3 linked regions of the Arabidopsis thaliana genome follow. The protein of the gene in region 1 interacts with the protein of each later gene in a pairwise test. Each region holds a gene or a part of one and is shown in the gene's direction. Other genes may lie near its edges. The genes, in order: MNP, WRKY43 and BBX31.

Region 1 (4,275 bases):
CATCAATATCGCGTTGATATTCTCATTGTAGATTGTTGGTTATGTAGGGAGACTAATAATGCGAACTAGAAAAAGATATGTGAGTCAACTAAGGTTAGTGTTGATATAGCAACTCTCTTATGTTTTTAAATTTGCCATAAAATAGGTTGTTAGTCCAAATAGCCGATATAAACATCAATAGAAGAGTAATTAATCGTTCCATCGGAACATCCGATGAAATTGGAACGAGACCTATACAGAAGAAAACAAAAGAGCAACTAATCATCTTGATCACATGCCCAATATGCATTTAAGTAAATTGGAGAGAATGATATAGAAAAACAAGACATTATCTACAACTACAAGATATCAAAGCACTCGGTTAACCGCGTCCCTGTGAAGTGTTAGTTATCAGTACATGAATTGTGATTTCAGCATCTTGGTCCTTTTTTTTTTGGACAACCGTCATCTTTTTCTTGATCGGTTTTTATAACGTACAAACATATACTATTTCAACAGTTTTCTTTTAATTTTTTTTTTTTTTGAATATACACTTTCTTTCTTTTATTTGTTTGATTACAAAATTTTCAAAAAATAGTGTTCGGCAAAAAAAAAAATTAGATCGGCCAATGCATTATATCCCCTAGCGTAAGCTCTTTTTCAACCAATCGAGAGTCCATGTTTTCAATAAAAATAGGGTTTTATTAGTAACAGTAGTTAAAGCATTTAACATACGTAATCCCAAAAAAATAAAATAATTCTGTATAGGGACGAAGACTAGTATTCGTTGACGACAAGAGTAGAGTAGACTCTAGCTAGCTGCAAGTTTTGAAGAAATCTAATAACCAAATCTAAGTCATTTTACTTACATCATCATGGATCATCATTAACCACATGAGGCTGAGCAGATATCGAACGTGTGATTGCGATGTGGAGAAGTAAAGGACGAGGCCACGCGCAACTGAGCAGGAGCGCGTGAGATTCAGGGTTTTAGGGCAGAGATACGGAAAGAGACAGAGGTTTTATAGCATTATATTGAAAGAGAACAAATAAAAATAAAAATATGAGCCTCGTGATCGGAGATTTTTGCAGTGATGACTGTACTCTTCTTCCTCTTCTCTCCCCCTTGTCACGTGGGCTAAATTTTGACCACCCTTCTTCAATGACCATCAACATCGCATCACACTCTCTCCTTCTTCTTCTTCTACGTTTTTTATTTTCTGTTAAATTTCCTCCACAAAATCGATAATTTCAATTTTTTCATACAATATCATAGTTCTAGTAAAGTAAACATTCGTGTGTGAGTGACATAATAATTGCTTCAAAAAGAAATAACGAATTAATAAGAGTTGTGTGCTTGATGGTCCAAAAGTCGTATGTTTTTCACCATCACAATAAGATTTACCATATCTACTTAAACCAAACTTCAATCTATGATATTTGGAAGCTAGCAATGAATGATTTTGTTTTAGCATATGTTACCGAGCCTATTCATCTTTAGATTGAAAGTTTTGTGTCCAACAACTAGCAAACCCTTCGCTTTTTAAACCAAGATCAGTTTTTCTACATAGTTTCGACTTTTTGTTATTTTACTTCCCATCATATTTTGTTTTATTTACTACTGACATTTTCATAATGTACGGTACATTTTCATATATTAGCATCCTTATCTAAAAGCTAATCAACTCCATAACGTACTTGAAATAGGGATATTTTAGTTGAATTATTCAAAACAATCACACAGTGACACAGACTCTATGTAGACCAAGCATGTGTTATGTAATTAGAAAAAATAAACTGTGATTAAAATATCTTTTAACTTGTTAACTTGGCTGCCTAAAGAAACTTGATACTGTATCATCGTTCATCGTATTTTGTAATTAATAAAACATAAAAAAGCAAGGAAAACCCATTTGAGTAAATGATATATTAATATTACTTCGTAAAAAGCTGCGTCCCCACATATTCTATTGATTTTAAATACTATTCGTATTAATATAAACCTGCATATAAGCGTACATATACATTTCTGATTCTATATATAGGTGTGAGACCTTCTTCTCCATTCTACACTTCACTCCAACGTGAAACCTGCAAACTGAACTTATCTCTTCATATTTTCTTTAGCTTCTCTTAATTTTACACTTAGGGTTTTCAAACCAGTAGAGAGAGAGAGAAGTGTGTAAGAGCGATGATGCAGACTCCGTACACTACTTCAACGCAGGGGCAATATTGTCATTCTTGTGGAATGTTCCACCACCATAGCCAAAGCTGCTGCTACAACAACAACAACAACTCCAACGCCGGTTCTTACTCGATGGTCTTCTCCATGCAAAACGGTGGCGTTTTCGAGCAGAACGGTGAGGACTATCATCACTCTTCCTCCCTCGTTGACTGCACTCTCTCTCTTGGAACTCCTTCTACGAGGCTTTGTGAGGAAGATGAGAAACGTAGACGCTCTACTTCATCTGGTGCTTCTTCTTGCATCTCCAACTTTTGGGACTTGATTCACACCAAAAACAACAACTCCAAAACGGCACCGTACAATAACGTTCCTTCTTTCTCCGCTAACAAGCCAAGTCGCGGTTGTTCCGGTGGTGGTGGTGGCGGAGGAGGCGGTGGCGGAGGTGACTCTCTTCTCGCTAGACGCTGTGCCAACTGTGACACTACTTCTACTCCACTATGGAGGAATGGTCCTAGAGGCCCTAAGGTGACTTATTTATTTTAATTTTTATTAAAATGCAACTTCTTTTAATCAACACATGAAATGAAGATTTACAATAACCAAAAAGACAGTTCATCCCTTTGTTTTGAATATTTGCCTATCTGTTTTTTCACTAAAACCAATAAATCCCTTTCTCTATAGTTTAATTTATTGAAAGAAACATTAAATAATGATTTTGATGGTTCAGTAAATTTACTTGAATATAAGTTTTAAAACAGATATTTCAATAAAAGACATTAATTTATTTTCTTTTCGAATATTTTCATCACTATATAGAGATTTATGTATTGAACGAACATTAAATATAAGATATATTGATGGCTAATGATGATATGGATGGTTTTGGAATTTGCAGTCCCTATGCAACGCATGCGGCATTCGTTTCAAGAAGGAAGAGAGAAGAACTACTGCGGCTACAGGAAACACCGTCGTCGGAGCTGCACCGGTTCAAACCGACCAGTACGGGCATCACAACTCTGGCTACAATAATTACCATGCTGCCACTAATAACAACAATAATAATGGTACTCCGTGGGCTCATCACCACTCGACGCAGAGGGTTCCGTGTAATTATCCGGCAAATGAGATCAGGTTCATGGATGATTACGGCAGTGGAGTAGCAAACAACGTTGAATCCGACGGTGCTCACGGCGGTGTTCCGTTCCTTTCTTGGAGGCTTAATGTAGCGGATAGGGCAAGTCTTGTCCATGACTTTACCAGATGAAAGGAGAATAGAAAACGACGTTAGATTCTCTTAAAATTTCCATGTGGTTTAATTATGTCTAATTAAAAAAAAACCAAGAAAATATTTCTGAAAAAAATAGAAGTGTATATCGAGAGACGATGTTGATGTTTATTGATAGTGACGGTCTAACTTATGGTTTATCTATAAAGTACCGTTCTGGTCAATTTTTAAAATCATTTTCTAATATTTATTTTAAAAATATAACCTTCTTTTTATGGAAATCTTCTCTTCTCTAGTCTATAAAATAAACACTATAGTTAGATTCTTCTATTGATTACACAGTGATCGTCATAAAACATTACAGATGTAATCAAAACATTAGAAAGAAAAACAAAAAATGAAAGATGTGCATAAGAGAAAACACACAGACCAAAAATATAGACATAGGATATAACTCTTTTAATGTATATAGTTTAGAGTTGAACGGAGAAGTTTCAGTTCCACCTGAGTCCCTGAATTTCACAACTGAGACTTTAATAATAATAATATTCTTACTATTGGTTAATAAAAAATAGAGAAAATAAAATAAAAATTAGGGTGTTTGGTAGTGAAGATTGAAATCTGATCGTCGAATTGGGGAGAGATTAGATTCTGATCGTACCAATGTGGGTTTTGGTACTGTTGTGTTTTCAGTTTTGGATCAGAGAGCATTGTAGTGATTTAATGAACATATATTTGTCGTATTATGCTCTGCTTCTTCCTCCTTTATATTTTGACCGTCGTTTTGTCCTTTACTCACTCCTCTCTTCTTGACCTTTTGTTCGTGTCAATATGTGCTCTCAAGAATATTGTTTTTCTTCCTTTTTAATTACTTACTTTTTCCGAT
Region 2 (3,166 bases), on another chromosome or scaffold:
GTTGGTATCTTGAGGGCAGAAGTTGCAGCAGCAGCTACAGGAGGTGGAACGCATTCCAAAACAACCGAAAAACATCCAGCTTCTTGTAAAGCCATTGCAGTCTCAACAACTTTAACAGCACTAGCTATGTTTCTGCCTTGGGGTCTGAAACCACCAAGAACGCTAATCGCCTGAGGGGTTAGACCCACATGACCAATAACCGCAATTCCTGCTTCAACTATAGCTTTTGCAGCAGTGATCCTAGAAGCTGATCCTCCTTCGAGCTTAATCGCATCCATTCCTCCTTCCTTCAAAACCCTAACCGCAGTATCAACCGCCTGAAGCCAACATTTAAACCCAAAATCAGGTCCCTAATTTGTTTCATTGACACAAAATCTTGTAAAGAATCTACTTTGCATAAGCAAGTACTAAAGCTAAATCTGTGATTACACAGGCAATGACACATTGACACATAATGTATCATTTAAGACTTTTTTTATCAAGAATCCAATCACCTAAACATTTGATCAGGAAATGAATTGAACATTGTAAGTCCCACTGAGTGTTGTGATTAATTCAGGTATTGAAATTGCAATCAAGAATCTAATTACCTACACAAAAATTAAGCAGAAGAACATGCCTTATCAACAAATATGTTTAATTTAGGTATCTAGAAGAAAAAAAGATTCAATTTTATAACATTACCTGACTAGAGCTTGACTCGTAGGTACCAAATGGCAAGTCACCAACTAGGAGAGGTCGTTTAGCGCCTCGAGCAACGGCACGACAATGAACAAGCATCTCGTCTAAGGAGATAGGAAGTGTTGTGTCGTGACCATGAACAACCATGGAAGCTGAGTCACCGACAAGACAAACATCGATACCAGCTGTGTCTAAATGAACGGCGGATGGGTAATCGTAGGCAGTTACGACGGTGATCGGTTCTCCTCTCCGGTGTTTTTGTCTGAGATGCGTTAGCGTCACTCTTTGGTTTGGGTTTTGTGGCTTTGGTCCTCCGTAGACGGTGTTTTCCGGTAGGTTACTCATGAAACGGACAGAGATGGCTTTTGAGAAGCGAGAGCAATTCCTAGTGAGTGAGGACGCCATTGTTGTGAAGATGAAGAAACCCTCTTATCTGTGACTGTGTCTGTGTTTACAAGAACAAGGAATTTTACTTTTAAGAAGATTCAATTCCTAGTGAGTGAGGACGCTGTTTAGATTCTGGCAAGTGGCGATTCAGTTCTGGGTTTCACACACAAATCAAGCATAGCAATGACACTGTTAGGAATTGTGATAGCTTAACTATAAATTCAATATTTTAACGAAATCAACAAGATCCGTTGTAGTCTAGCTGGTCAGGATACTCGGCTCTCACCCGAGAGACCCGGGTTCGAGTCCCGGCAACGGAGATAGTTTTAAAATATCTTTACTATATTAAACCGGATTTTGGTTCAGTCTGGTTATGTTAACCCAGTCTCTGTTTCTCTCTAGGCTCTAGCCTAACCCAGTCTCTGTTTCGATCTTATTGAACTTCTGTTCCAAAGGCGATTCCTTTTTTATTTTTCCGTTTCTGGGTTTAGATAGAGAAATGTAGAGATTGAGATCGCGGTTACTAGTTGGAACTCTCTTGGAGTTGGAGAGCATCCGAGGGTTCTGCACGAGCTCCTTTAAGATCGTAGCTTCGGTTCTTTTTTATGAGATTGCGCATTGTGATACCAAAACCGGATTCTACTGTTTACAGTTTCCAGGAGTTCAAGTAAAGACCAAACCATGTCTCTGTTTTTTAAGTCACACACGTGTGAGATGACGTGAAGGAATTTTTTGTTGTTGTTGGTCTGAAGTAGTTGAATGTAGTTGGCTTCTAAACCTTTTTATATATCTCTTCAATATAAATCACACGAAGAATTCTAACACACAATTCGTTGATTCATCATATCTCCTCTTCATTAATGAATGGCCTCGTCGACTCTTCTCGAGATAAGAAGATGAAAAATCCGCGATTTTCGTTTCGCACAAAGAGTGATGCAGATATTCTCGATGATGGTTATCGATGGAGAAAGTACGGTCAGAAATCCGTCAAGAACAGCTTGTATCCCAGGTAAACTTTTTAACATAAATAATCTGAAATTGTTTTTAAAAAGATTGTTTTTTTGTGTGTTTCTTCTCACTTATGATCATCAAAAGGAGCTATTATAGATGCACACAACACATGTGTAACGTGAAGAAGCAAGTTCAGAGGCTGTCGAAGGAGACGAGCATTGTGGAGACAACTTATGAAGGAATCCATAACCATCCTTGTGAGGAGCTCATGCAAACCCTAACTCCTCTTCTTCATCAATTGCAGTTCCTCTCTAAGTTCACCTAATTATGTTTGTATATATATTAACGTTCTAAGAGCATCTCCAATGGAAGTATCTCAATGAGATACCTAACAAAAGAAAAAAAATTAAAAAAAAAATATGAGAGAAGGGAGAAAAAGTAGGAGAGAAGGAGAGTTAAATTTCTCGGATGATTGGACAGGTGTAATCACACTATTAGTTCAACTATTAAATAATAATTAATGTATCTGTTTTGATTAAAATATTAATTAATATGTTTTTGAGAAACTTTCTTTATTTTTACTGGTGGAGATGGTCTAATGTTCCATGGTTCATATAACGGAGCAAATTAAAGCATTGTAATCATATATGTTTGCATGTTCATAGTTGCAATCTCGTTTTGATTATAAATCAGTTTTAAGCATATAACCAAAATAAAAAAACAAATCAATTGTAATATTCCGGTAAAACGATTACCACGTGATGATTATAGAGAGGCATAGAGCAATATCGTCTGGTAAACTGAATAAAACCGGATTTGGTTTCCATAGATTTTTCTCAAGCCAAATCAGTTTCCTTTCGTTTGAATAAACCTATTGGCTTATCGTGAGTGATTATTGTTTTGTTTATTTACACGATGAACAATGTCAATGAGACATGTCACATGTACGAAGTCAGTTCCGATATATTACATGAATTGCTTTCAAGTTTTGATCAGCATCCTTAAATAGTCACCGAAAATAAGAAGCGAACAAGTCTTGGCGAAGTTGAAGCCACAAAGTGTACTAATAAATATGGATTGCCGAATTAAAAGAAGAAACAAAAAAACTACATTTTCATATTTTTTTTCTTCTTCCATATATAAATCC
Region 3 (3,690 bases), about 11 Mb from region 1:
AGGTCTCGTACCAACAGGCAACAATAAAGAACAGACAGAAAAATCTGAGGACAAAATTAGAAAATAAAAAGCTTTTGGATTTTTGAACCAATATGATCCACACAAGTGGACTTATGCATCAACACTGAATCAACTTGTGGACAACAACAACATCACTTTTTTTTTCCATAACGTATCAAACATACAAATATAATAATATTTTCGTCTCATTATTATTTCAGTCCGTCTAATAAGTGTGCGTATTTTTGATCAGTCAATAATCCATACGACCCACTACTTTATCTTAAATTTTGTAGAGAAATGTCGTGGGTTTTTTTTTTGTTATATATATACTTTGTGTATGTAAAAAGTTAGATATATAGTCTTCATAAAATGGTATAAGACAATATGTGTATTTTCTATTCTGAGTAGAGTCCGCCAATACCCGATCTTACTTGTATTAGAGACAGAGTGTTACAGGTTGTGGTTTAACAGAAACCAGTTGGTTATGTACCGATTATATAATGAGATGTACATATATACTCTAGTCTTTCTATTTCTCAAGCTTTTATATTTCTTTCAAAAACTGAAATTTTTTTCTTCACATAAACATATTTGTAACCTACCTTTGATTCAGTATAACTTTCTGCATTATATCCGAATCGAAGCAAGATTGGAGGCATAAAGAACAACAACTCTAGTTGAACGTCCAAAATGGAAAATACCTACTCAAATTATATATTACATAATGTCAAGGTTTTAATTTGGTCTAATTAATCTTCAATATTAAACATATATATGCAGTTAAAAAATCTAATAACATCATTGAAGATATTTTTGATCATTTAATGCTTTATAATTATCTCTATCTTCACGTAAATTTTGTACTATTAGTAGAATTTAAGTTAACGAAATGTATGACTCCGATCATTACATGTCTAAACGATGGCGATAGATATGATGTGCTGCTATGTTTTAACCGATACGATATATTTTAGCAACAACGAATAACTATATTATAATTTTGGTTAAAGAGATTCAATAACATATTTTGCTAATTACTTTATTTTATTTCGTCCGAACTGTAGTATGTAATTAATCTTATTAGGTTGCTTTAACAATAGATTAAGACACTTACTAAATGAATTCACTATTTTACAAACACTGTTTACGAATAATGTGATGCTAACTACAAAATCGAATATTGTGACATTAAAATGCTTTTCGATTACTTATATACGTACTACTAAGCAATCACACGCAATGTATAGCAATTCAAAATAATCAAACCTTTTTAATTAACTGATATTATTCGTAATTCGTGGGGTAGCTTTCACTAATATTAAACAAATAAATGACTAATAAATCAACCCAAAAAAAAATCTTTAAATGTGAACCATACAAGTGAAGTCCTCTTTGCTTGTTCTGATAGTAAGCTTATATAATTAATTAAGAGTTGACTGACTAACAACCACACAATGTCCCAAAGACAACCAATAACAACGATACTTGATATCACCCTAAATTCTAGCCGTTTCTTATGCGTACCCCCTATCCTCCACTAATCACTTGTAGTATCTTTAATTTTTTTCTCTAAACAATCCCTTAATTATTTTAGAAAATTCTGTCACAAATTTCAATAGGAAAATGAAGGTGTGCTAAGAAACGAATGATAATATATGCCGGTTTTTTTTATCCAACTAGTTCTAGAACCTTAAATATCATGTAAATGTCTCAAAATTTATACCTTGGAAAAAAAGAGATAAACTACACGACTATATATGTTTTCGCTTTGGACAAGGAAACTCCATCGTAATTAACTAAATTCGCAATCATTCATATTTGTTTATAGAATCGATTGTTTGTTAACCTTTCGGTGCATCTATTAAAATTTTAAATTCTCAATAGTTTGGTTTATCGTACACCGTAATCACATTACAATAAGATACATATAACATCATATCGTACAAAAAACAAAAAAAACAATGATTCACATTGAAGTGGTGGGTGATATAAACCAAAAGAAGTCGTACTAGAGGTTTGTTTCGATTTGCAAAAAAAAAAAAACGGAGTTTGTTTCGAAAATTTTAAAGTTGTGCGTCCAATATGAGGTCGAGAGATCGCTTGGAGGAGAAGCGTTTTTAATTTTGAAATTAACGATTTTGCCCTCATAAGGGCATTTACGTCAAAATAACAGGGCAAGATTCATCCACGTGTCCAACAACAACACAACACAAACACATCATTAGTTTTAAAGAAATAAGATTCCTATATAAATGTATAAACGTTTCTCCTATTCCCAAATCTTCTTTCCTCAATATCACCCAGAAGAAAGAGAAAGTGAAACAGATCAAGAAAGAGATTGAGAAAAATGTGTAGAGGCTTGAATAATGAAGAGAGCAGAAGAAGTGACGGAGGAGGTTGCCGGAGTCTCTGCACGAGACCGAGTGTTCCGGTAAGGTGTGAGCTTTGCGACGGAGACGCCTCCGTGTTCTGTGAAGCGGACTCGGCGTTCCTCTGTAGAAAATGTGACCGGTGGGTTCATGGAGCGAATTTTCTAGCTTGGAGACACGTAAGGCGCGTGCTATGCACTTCTTGTCAGAAACTCACGCGCCGGTGCCTCGTCGGAGATCATGACTTCCACGTTGTTTTACCGTCGGTGACGACGGTCGGAGAAACCACCGTGGAGAATAGAAGTGAACAAGATAATCATGAGGTTCCGTTTGTTTTTCTCTGATTATTAGATTTTTTTGGTGTAAGCTATAAATATTCTAGGGTTTTTATGCAATTTTCTTTTAAGAAAAATCTGAAAATTTTAATTTTATGAAGCTTAGAATTTTAAGAAATGTGTAATGAAAAAAAAAAAAGAATTTTAAGAAATGGGTAGTGACTAAAAATAGCAAAAAATATCTGCAATAGAAAGGGAAGAAACAAGGATCGTTTGTTGTTATTGAGTTATTCTTCGAATCTTTTGCTTTTTTCTACTAAGCAATGTTTGTAACCAACAAACAAAAAGTTCCATAAAACTGCTGTAAAAAAAAATTAACTCACCAAACTCTCTGTTTGGTATTTTGTTAGATATTTATTTTAGTGTAGTAAATCTTTCTCACTACTTCTTTGGACTTGTCATTTTCCTTAATTTAAAGGTACATAAAAGCAACTCCAGCCTTGTATTCTTAGCAATAAAAGTGATTAAATTTAATGAAACAACAAACCTTAGCTAAGATAAACATCTTAATTAAGATGTTTTCTTAAAACTAAGAAGAGTATATGTGTTGTATTTTGAGTGGATAGACATTTTTGAATTGTTGTTTTTTAAGAATCCAATAGTTCTTAACCATTGAAATAGAAATTAGTTAAACTTCCTCCTAACTTTTCTTAACTTAGTAAAAACAACATTTTAATTTAAAATAAGGTTAAGATTCAAAACTAAGAACCAATTGGTTCTAAACCAGTGGGGTAATAACTAAACTTTTTGCAAGTGAAACATCTTCATAATGCAATGCTTAATAAGTAGAGAATTGTTCTCTTGAAACACGTTAAACGCGAGCTCTGTAATGGAGCAGATTGTAATCACTGCTACTTTATTATTAATAAAAAAAAAAACAGCTAGGAAATTTATTTATAAAGAGATAAATTAGGATTTGTCCTATAAAAGGAAAAACCCAACTTAAAAATAATCAAAAACAAAAGAGATTCTGTAAATAAAAG

The links.
Region 2: the proteins of MNP (region 1) and WRKY43 interact in a two-hybrid assay, tested with the Arabidopsis thaliana proteins (one large-scale study listed by BioGRID).
Region 3: the proteins of MNP (region 1) and BBX31 interact in a two-hybrid assay, tested with the Arabidopsis thaliana proteins (one large-scale study listed by BioGRID).

The regions. Positions count from the first base shown.
Region 1 is NC_003074.8:18,908,942-18,913,216, forward strand, and holds MNP (GATA type zinc finger transcription factor family protein), read left to right. Parts: upstream 1-2,005; 5' UTR 2,006-2,170; coding exon 2,171-2,689; intron 2,690-3,059; coding exon 3,060-3,428; 3' UTR 3,429-3,667; downstream 3,668-4,275. UniProt on the Arabidopsis thaliana protein: Transcriptional factor that specifically binds 5'-GATA-3' or 5'-GAT-3' motifs within gene promoters (including its own promoter and GATA21 promoter), thus regulating the expression of genes mostly involved in hormone responses and floral organ specification (including genes regulating hormones responses).
Region 2 is NC_003071.7:18,955,326-18,958,491, forward strand, and holds WRKY43 (WRKY DNA-binding protein 43), read left to right. Parts: upstream 1-1,886; 5' UTR 1,887-1,928; coding exon 1,929-2,077; intron 2,078-2,163; coding exon 2,164-2,344; 3' UTR 2,345-2,600; downstream 2,601-3,166. Other genes in the region: KPHMT1 (ketopantoate hydroxymethyltransferase 1), read right to left, coding at 1-317, 685-1,086. UniProt on the Arabidopsis thaliana protein: Transcription factor. Interacts specifically with the W box (5'-(T)TGAC[CT]-3'), a frequently occurring elicitor-responsive cis-acting element.
Region 3 is NC_003074.8:7,708,324-7,712,013, reverse strand, and holds BBX31 (B-box type zinc finger family protein), read left to right. Parts: upstream 1-2,080; 5' UTR 2,081-2,350; coding exon 2,351-2,716; 3' UTR 2,717-3,181; downstream 3,182-3,690. UniProt on the Arabidopsis thaliana protein: Developmental regulator acting by forming heterodimeric complexes, that sequester CO and CO-like (COL) proteins into non-functional complexes. Involved in the CO-mediated long-day flowering-promotion pathway.